Linked DNA regions of Caenorhabditis elegans. The protein of the gene in region 1 purifies or fractionates together with the protein of each later gene. This does not show direct contact. Each region holds a gene or a part of one and is shown on either strand. Other genes may lie near its edges. The genes, in order: myo-3 and mlc-3.

Region 1 (5,085 bases):
ATTTTGAGTTTTGTGTGTGATTGCTTTTTCACAATCAGTGTTTTCAGGATTATGTGATGAACTAGATCTTCAAGTTTCGTTACATTTCATATGTTTTCGGAACTCACGAAGTACATATTGGGTATTGTGCTCAAAAAATTCAGCAATCAGCTTCGCTCCGCTGACTTTAGAACCCAAAAAAATAGTATGGCCAAACTGACTGTGTTACGATCATTTCAATTTTTCAATACATATTTAAGATTTCTAAGAGTAAGAAGGTCAAAAACTGTTCTGGAATACATATATATTTTTCAGGTTACAATTAGTCAAAAAGTGCACTGAAATATACGTTTTAATTTCACGAATAACCCAATTAGTTCAATGTATTTTTGGTCAACCAACGTTAAAGTTTGGCTTCCAACCAATTATCATTTCTGATCAACCACAATGTTTTTTCTTTATCTGCAAGTTAATTTTTTATTTTTATCCAGATGTTTGGCATATTTTTCAATTCTTCACTAGCGCCCACTTCTTGCACTTCCGGCGCCCTGAATCTAATGCATCTGTTGCAAGAATTGAAAGACCAATCAACACATTGTTTTCTTCACGAGATACTGAAGAAAATGAATAAAAACAGAGAAAAAGAGCCATGTGATTAGTGACAACTGTTGCTAACAGATACCATAGCTTGGACTTGGTACGTGATGGCAACGTATGGGTCAACAAAAATGATTGCAGAGGGGGTGCAAAACAGTCAAGTCGAGAAAATATGAAAAACAGAAAACAAAGAACAGAAAAATGGGTTTGAGAGTCAGTATAATTTATAAAAGAAAAATTGTACATAGAAATTAACCATTTTTGTAGAAGAAGTTATTTTTCAAGCATCGTTAAAAATTATTCAAAGCACCTTATTTCATATTTAATTTTAAACATGGTTAAATGAACAACACGGTGCGCAATCAGGAAAACTTGAAATCTGAAACTGTTGTTGTGATCTTCTTCGCAACTGTTCAGATAGCACTAGTGTAATGTTAAGAGTGCGCGAATATAATGGAATATAATGGATCACACCTCCTGCCATCAGGTAAACGTCTCTGTTATCACATATTTCCAACTATTAAATTTTTACCTTTTACAGTTTTACATTTTTTTGAAAAAAGTAACTTTTTGTCTTCAAAATCCCTGACGAAAATATCAAATATTTTAATCGAGACTGCAGAGGAACCGATTGATGATTTGGAAAATCCAGCTTTACCTGTGTAAGAACTGAAAAGTTTCATAACCCTAGGGTATTCCCAGTTACATTCCCCACTGGCTAACAATAGCACCCAGTTTTTCATCACCTTTCTTCAAATTTCTCGGCGATTTGTTAAAAACAAAATTTGTGTCCCTTCTCTGATATCTCTATGTCTCTAAACACAAGTTCATCGGAAAACGAAGGAGGGTAGGTGTTGGTTGGGCTCCCGAAGTGAAAATAGAAGAGCAAGAATAGAATATTAGAGAGAGAGTGCAGAGAGGGCGGGATAGCTCCCGGGATTCCGTTTTCTTCTTCTTTATCTTCAACGATGATGTGTGTGCGTGTTGTATAGATTCTGTTGCTCCCCCACAACTCGCTCCGAAGGCTCAATACAATTCAATTGATATTGGAGGAGAGCCTACCGGAGTGGGAGGATAAGAAGAAACATAAGAAGAAGAAGAAGAAGAAGCATGCTTCTGGTTTTTGATGCTATGAAAACGGCACAAAAAGATGATTGAGGTCCCTTTTCAATACCTTCTCTCATCTTTCAAATCCCATTGAAACCTAAAACTTCTCACCACGCTTTACCATTGTTCTCCAAAAACTTATAGCAATGTCTATAACTTTTTTATCTCTGAAAAGCAGTGTTCCATTTTTCTTTTTCCTATTTTATTTCAATTGTTTCTCACATTTCGTTTGGATTCTTTGCTTGTCAACCAGCTTCTTCTTCCACTTTTACCGTCTAATTTTCAGGGCAGGGAGCCATCAAACCCACGACCACTAGATCCATCTAGAAATGTCTGGAAATCCAGACGCATTCGAAAATGATCCAGGATTCCCATTCTTGGGAATCTCGAGAGAGGCCAGAGCTGCCACTGCTGCTCGTCCTTTTGATTCCAAGAAGAACTGCTGGATTCCGGATCCAGAAGATGGTAAGTCTTGATTTCGAATTGAAAATTTTAAAGAAAAATTTTGAACCACGTGCTGTAATATTTGGCAAGAATATTTTCCCATAATTTTAATAGTAACTGTGATATGTTCTAATTTTAGAAATCAGTTGTCAACGCTAAAAATGTAAGGGTTACAATAGTGGTATTGCAAAGAGTTATGATGGTTAAGTTTGTAAATACTTTTTTTCTGTTAATGAAACTAATTTGGATACAAATTTTTCATTTGATCTAAACAGAACATCTTAATCAAAAAACACTTTAAAACTCTTGCTTTGATATTGTTTGTTCAATTTCCTAATTCTTACCAAACCAATTCAAGCTAACTTTCATTATGTCCATTCCATTAACAAAAACTATTATTACACCTTCTCTCTCATCGCCAGTGTCCACATTCATCCTACTCTCCTACGCTTTCATCTGTGTCTCTCAGATCTGCATTTTATCTATGATACATCACACTTTCCACCGACCCCGCCGGGCAACCAGTGGTGGCGGATTTTTGAACATCTGAGGTTCTCTCATCTCTCGGTCATCTGATGAAGCACATACACACATACACACAACGGCACTTTGTAATCTTTCCGGAGAAGCGGGCAGGCACACACGTACGCTATGAAGCCGGAGCAAGAGCTTCTCCTGCCGTTTGAACTGCGGCTTCTGCTGTTGGCAGGAAAGATGATGAGATTTCTTGGAATTTAAGATTGAGATATTTGACGTCCCACATTTTATGGATGGACAACAATATGTACATGTTTTGAAGATTTAATATTGAAATGTGGATATGAAATCGGAATTTAAAAAGTCAAGGTCAATAAAATGGTAATTCTGACCAGATCTATTATTCGAGGATGACAAATAAAACTAGGATTAAATCAAAAATACTAAATTTGAAAATGAAAAAGAAAAGATTGTTCTATAACTTATAAATCTCACAATAATGATTTTTGTACAGAAACAAAAACTAAATGACATAATCGAATAAAACATTCTGATTTTAATCAGCCGCATGCGACAAAACATATATTTCTTGGAGGCTAATATTAAATTTCAGGATTCGTCGCCGCCGAGATCCAATCCACCACCGGCGAACAGGTGACCGTGGTAACTGTGAAGGGAAACCAGATTACCGTCAAAAAAGATCAATGCCAAGAGATGAACCCGCCAAAATTCGACAAGACCGAGGATATGGCTAACTTGACCTTTTTGAATGAGGCCTCTGTTTTGGGAAATCTCAAGGATCGTTACAAGGATTTGATGATTTACGTAAGGAAATTGAAACTATTCAAAAAAAAAATTAATACTATTCAAAAATTGAACCGACTTAATTTTCAGACATACTCCGGACTTTTCTGTGTTGTAATCAATCCATACAAACGTCTTCCAATCTACAGTGAATCTGTAATCAAGCACTTCATGGGAAAGAGACGTAATGAGATGCCACCTCATTTGTTCGCTGTCTCTGATGAAGCTTACCGTAACATGGTTCAAGGTATGTGAAAATTTAATTGTTTTAGAACTTTATTTTTCAAATTTCAGACAAGGAGAACCAGTCTATGCTCATCACCGGAGAATCTGGAGCTGGAAAGACTGAGAACACCAAGAAGGTTATCTCCTACTTCGCTATTGTTGGAGCCACGCAAGCTGCTTCCGGCAAAGAAGCCAAGGATGGAAAGAAGGGAGGTACTCTTGAAGAGCAAATTGTGCAAACGAACCCTGTGTTGGAGGCTTTCGGTAATGCTAAAACTGTCAGAAACAACAACTCTTCCCGTTTCGGAAAGTTCATCAGAACTCATTTCTCTGGATCTGGAAAGTTGGCTGGAGGAGATATTGAACACTGTGAGTGATCTTTTATGATTAGTTTTTAAGAAAAAATGAGATTGGAGGAATTTAAATTGAAACTAGTGAAACCATTCAAAAAAGAAAAATATTTTCAGATCTTCTCGAAAAATCTCGTGTCGTCCGTCAGGCACCAGGAGAGCGTTGTTATCACATCTTCTACCAGATTATGTCTGGAAACGATCCAAGTCTCCGTGGAAAGCTTAAGCTTAGCAACGACATCACTTACTATCACTTCTGCTCGCAGGCCGAGCTTACCATCGAAGGAATGGATGATAAGGAGGAGATGAGACTTACTCAGGAAGCTTTCGATATCATGGGATTCGAAGACAACGAGACTATGGATCTTTACCGTTCCACTGCTGGAATTATGCACATGGGAGAAATGAAATTCAAGCAGCGTCCACGTGAAGAGCAAGCCGAGCCAGACGGTGAGGAAGATGCTCTCAACGCTGCTGCCATGCTCGGAATCCAAGCTGAGGAGTTCCTCAAGGCTTTGACCAAGCCACGTGTCCGTGTCGGAACCGAATGGGTCAATAAGGGACAGAACTTGGAACAGGTCAACTGGGCCGTTTCTGGACTTGCCAAGGCTATCTATGCCCGTATGTTCAAGTGGATCATCACCAGGTAAATAACAAAGAGCAAATATTTTTAATTAGGGTAAATATTATTCTACTTATTTTACTTTTAGATGTAACAAGACCCTTGACGCAAAGGAGATTGAGCGTAAGCATTTCATCGGAGTGCTTGATATCGCTGGATTCGAAATCTTCGACTTGAACTCTTTTGAACAGCTCTGGATCAACTTTGTCAACGAACGTCTTCAACAATTCTTCAACCATCACATGTTCGTTCTTGAACAAGAAGAATACAAGCGTGAAGGAATTGCCTGGACCTTCATCGATTTCGGACTTGATCTTCAAGCCTGTATTGAGCTTATTGAGAAACCACTCGGTATCATCTCTATTCTTGATGAGGAGTGTATCGTTCCAAAGGCCACTGATATGACCTATGCTCAGAAGCTTCTTGATCAACATCTTGGAAAACATCCAAACTTCCAGAAGCCAAAGCCACCAAAGGGAA
Region 2 (4,586 bases), on another chromosome or scaffold:
AAAAATCAATATTTTGGGTCTTTAGTATATTTAAGTGGACAGTTTCGCTACTCTAACTTCAATTTGAAAGCTTTTAAGGTGAAATTGTTTCTTTTCACCAATTTTTAGGATTGAGTGATATTTTTTGAAAAACTATATTTAGGTGGTGATACAATAAAAAATAGTTGTCAGCTAACAATATATACGAAAAATTGTTTAAATAATTTGGCAATTTCTTATTTTTTGGAAGCTACCGTTCTTGCACAGTAGACGGAAAATAAATCAATTGATAAAAATCAAACTGGCAGTTTGTTTTTATCAGGTCATCGACTCAAAAGCTGATATTTCTAGCAGCCTTTCAACTTACTACATGTACTATACCAAAATTTCCATTTCATAATTATTCAAAAGGTTTTTTATTATAATCCAAAAAGGAGAACGAATATAAGAAACGAATGAATTTCTGAATAAAAAAGTGTAAAATGAAGAAAGAAAGAAAATTTCTTGATCATAGAAACAGGCTTGAATGTGTTGGAGAAAAAGAAGAGAAAACCGCGCGCTGATTTTTAAAGTGCAAAACGTTTTCTGGATCAGAAAACGGAATGCGCGCACGCGAGTGGAATCTCTTACGTGTATAGCGTAGAAGAAAACGAGCGACTAGACGATGGGTTTATAGACAAAAAAGTAAAACATCGTTATTTGGAACGGGGAGAAAGAAGGCAGAGAAGGGAAAGGGGAGCAAAAAATTTGGGTAAGAGAAGATGGTGTTTTTTTTTTCAAAATTTAAACATTATAATGGGTGTAGCACAGATTCAGATCCAAAAATTTAGTCCTGGTCTGGGAATGGTCCGGCCAAAACCTTCTTGATGAAATCTGAAATAAATTTCAATTAAAAAAAATTTCCGAGAAGAAAAAAAATCGGCTTACCCTCGTACTTGACCATGCCTTCTCCGTCTTCGACTCCCTTGAGGAGCTCATCGGCCTCATCGGCGGAAAGTCTCTCACCGAGAGCCAAGAGGATGTGTCTGAGCTCAGCGGCCAAGATCTTTCCAGTCTCCTCCTTGTCGAACACCTTGAGTCCCTCGTAGAAGTCAGCGTAGGTTCCTTGCTCCTGAAGAAATTGGAAATTTATATTGGAAAGAACAATTTTCTCAGTTTATAATCTCAATGTTAAATGAATGATGATCTGCTCTACATGCGGACCCTAAGGTAGGCATCTAACTCCAGTAAACATAAATCATTCCCTATTCAGGTGACAGTAACCTCGAACATCAGCTAATTCCATCCCGAAGCTCCAGAGAACTCTCTGATTTTCGCTTAGGATTCTATCCAAAATTCGTTAGACACTGACTTTCAGATTGTCAAATTTGAGTAGATATGTGCTCAGGTAAACTTCGCAGACTATTTAATAACGAAAGCGAAATGTGTTTCCCAAAATATCTGGCCAAACTTGCTATTTCAAACTTTATGAGTTGTCCAGTCTTCTGAGCTCAGTTCGTAGGTTTCTATTGGCTCTTCAAGATCTCCATGTGCTGTTTTGAATCTTTTCTAAGAAACTGGTTGCCTTAAAGCTTTCAAAATACTGACGGTTGTGGGTCCAGAGAATGCCCTAGTTGAATTCAATCAAAGATCTACAGGATTTTTTACCTTAAACCTCCACTAAATAGTCTGAGCTGGCAGCTCTTTCCAAAACTCAATAGCTCCTAGAAGCTTCATATATACTCACTCCATTCTTTTACCCGTATATGGGGATCCTTACTCAAGATCCCTTGCCTATTCCTTACTACTTCCTATCCATACAAATATCTACAACAAGGACCCAGTAGACGCAGAATGATGATGCTCTCTATTGTTACACTGTGCCTATGTGTGTGTTTGTGTGTGCCAAGAGAGATTCTCGAGAGTCCTATGTGCTCCTCTCCCACACATGCTTCACGGGAGCCGCCGCCGCCTATCTCTCTAAAGTTCTAGGGATCGGCTGGCATGTGCCGGTGGAAGAGGATGTTCAGATTTTTCAGACCCTTAGTTGTGATTTAAAAGTTTTCGGCTAGGGGTACTGTATGGGGTTAACCTCTGAGATCCAATATTTACTTAGACCTTGAAATAAAACAAATCTCAAGCTTCATCTTCTTTGTTTGATTATCACTCGGTGCGGGAGTTAAAGGTTTGGCGCGAGGCCCCTAGATCCCTAAATCTCAAAAAACTCTCAGCTAAAGGTTAAAGGCACAGGCAAGATGTTTAAAATACCGTACCTTCTCCTTGGCGAGTTGCTCGTACATCGGGAGCCACTCCTCGAATGTAAGTCTCTTCTCTCCCTTACGCTTGAACTCCTGTCCGGCGGCCTTTGTCACCATAGCCTGAGTTGGCTTAAGTCCGGCGGCGCGGGCGACATCTCCGACTTGGGTTCCGTCGATCTTGCCGTCAAGCTCCTCATCGTAGAGGTTGAAGATCTCCTTGAGCACGTCTAGAACGATTTCAAGTTTGAAAAAATGTTTGGGATTGTAGGGATATATTTGGGGAATTGGATATATTTTTGAAACATTAAAAAAAAACTAAAAATAAAATGTTTTAGAAGTCCTAAAACCTTATAAGGTATCCCTAAGAGCTGGGGACATTGCTTAAAAAATTACTCACCTTGGGATGGTGGAGCCATTATGTGATGATGTGTGAGTGTTGCAGCGGCGGCAGAGCAGGGGGGACTGAGTGTGGAAACTGAGTGAAGGCGACAGAGCAGTGGCAACCCAAGTGTAAACTGTGTGTGACTCTTCGTAGAGGATGGGGGCGGATTGGGGCGGATATTGAGCTCCCGCACTCCCGCGCGAGTACACTATTTCACCCCTCGGGAGCCCGAGAGATAGAGAGAGGGATGTAATGCTCAAGAGATAGAGTGGCGAGATGTGGGATGTGAGAGCGAGAAAGCGCGGCGTACTGTTTCAACAAGTATTTTCTAGAAAATTTTCATGATAAGTTTAAGAATGAATGTATGACAAAAAAAACAACAAAAAATGTTCAAATTTCGGGGAACAAGTAAAAAATAGATTAAAAAATGATTTGGGAAGGGGAAAGAAGAAGCATAACAACAACAACAACAATTACAAAACAAGGTTATTCGGTGTATCTGGCCAAGTCCAGCCTCGGGACAATGTTCATGGATTGAAGTTCCTGGAAGAGCAGCTTACACGCATACGGAATCTTAATGTTCGCCATTGACTTGCTCGAACGACACTTTTGGCACCAACCCTTCGAGCCGATTACTCCGCATCCAGTGCACACGTCGACCTGGAAAACAAGAAATTTATTAAGTTACATTGGAAATCTATTATACTCTCATCGAATCGTTTTTTTATACAAACTGAGTTTTAAGGAGTACCAAATTATCCTATAAAATATTTAAGCATGCGTCTTTTAACTTTTTTATGTTAAAAATCCATACTTGTGTTTTTTAATATCGACACATTATTATAAGGCTCAACAAGTATCCATTACTTTTGCATTAAAACGCTTGCCTGCCTGACCTTAAGGCAACCTCCGCCTGCCTCTCGCCTCAGTCCGCGAATTCTGCTAAACCATTTTGTTTCTCTGTTTACGGAATAGGTCTACAGTACCCCAATGCTCGAAATGTTAATTTATTTTATTTCCTCCCTCTTCAATAATTAATAAGATCTTTGTGTTTTAACACATCTTCACAAGTTCATTTTTCCCGTGTTGGCTGCCGAACTCGATTAATTCGTTGTAAACGTATGTTTCTCTATTCTCCCTTTCAATATCTTTATTTTCTTTCTCTATCCTCCCCGCGTGCCACTTCAATCGCACATTTTCTCGGCATTCCACTCCTAGGAGCACAGCCGACGGGAAGAAAAAGCACAGGCACCCACTGTGGAGATATCTCTTCCTTCTTATTCCTCCTTCTTCTGTTCTCTCTTCTGCCAATGCTTTTACTCAATGACGAGAGATGCGGAGATCAGTGGAGTCCACAGACTTCGGGGTGGAAGATATAGTGAAATGGCAATCAAGGAGAGATCAGCGAGACATCTCTCCACGAAGATCACACTATTCACCAGGCATCTCGCATCGGGGCAAAAATCTCATCTTTTCTTCTTCTTCTTCGATGACTATTTTGTGGGCAAAAAAAAACGAAAAGTAGGAAGGAAGAAGCGAATCAAGACGAGAGCTCCGAAGGTTTCCTGGAGGGATCTTAATGTGAGGTTCACTTCCAAGTCTTTAGATCTCTGATTCTTGTTTGCCACCTGGGACAGGTGCAGAAAATATTATTTTCGGTACGACTGTACTAAGAAAAGGCGGTTTTAGTAAAAAATGTTCTCAAAAACTCCGAAATATCGCTGAATTGTGAGAGATTTTTTTTATTTGGGAATGGATCTTGCTCGAATAGCACCGAAAATTTGATTTTTTTTAACTTCCGAGCAACAGAGATTCAGAGCCATTAAAATAGAAAGTTTTGCTTTTTTTAAAAAGTTTTTAGGGAAAATGCTTTTTTTAAAATCGATTTCTCTGTTCTTATAAAAAAGTGGGAGTTCAAAAAAAAATTAATAATCGGTTTCCGACCTTTTTTTTCGATATTTTCAGATAAAAGTCGGGAAATGTATTCT

Evidence for each region.
Region 2: the proteins of myo-3 (region 1) and mlc-3 purify together in Caenorhabditis elegans (affinity purification with mass spectrometry; 2 studies listed by BioGRID, with this or other methods). This does not show direct contact.

What each region holds. Positions count from the first base shown.
Region 1 is NC_003283.11:12,231,228-12,236,312, reverse strand, and holds the start of myo-3 (Myosin-3), read left to right. Parts: upstream 1-1,969; 5' UTR 1,970-2,012; coding exon 2,013-2,148; intron 2,149-2,532; exon of another isoform or gene 2,533-2,668; intron 2,669-2,723; exon of another isoform or gene 2,724-2,916; intron 2,917-3,217; coding exon 3,218-3,429; intron 3,430-3,498; coding exon 3,499-3,655; intron 3,656-3,702; coding exon 3,703-4,002; intron 4,003-4,100; coding exon 4,101-4,629; intron 4,630-4,693; coding exon 4,694-5,085. UniProt on the Caenorhabditis elegans protein: Essential for muscle contraction. Involved in ovulation likely by regulating the contraction of gonadal myoepithelial sheath cells.
Region 2 is NC_003281.10:5,563,178-5,567,763, reverse strand, and holds mlc-3 (Myosin, essential light chain), read right to left. Parts: upstream 2,740-4,586; 5' UTR 2,633-2,739; coding exon 2,614-2,632; intron 2,444-2,613; coding exon 2,232-2,443; coding exon of another isoform or gene 2,190-2,231; exon of another isoform or gene 1,948-2,189; intron 1,091-1,947; coding exon 907-1,090; intron 853-906; coding exon 806-852; 3' UTR 757-805; downstream 1-756. Other genes in the region: rpc-2 (DNA-directed RNA polymerase subunit beta), read right to left, coding at 3,085-3,258.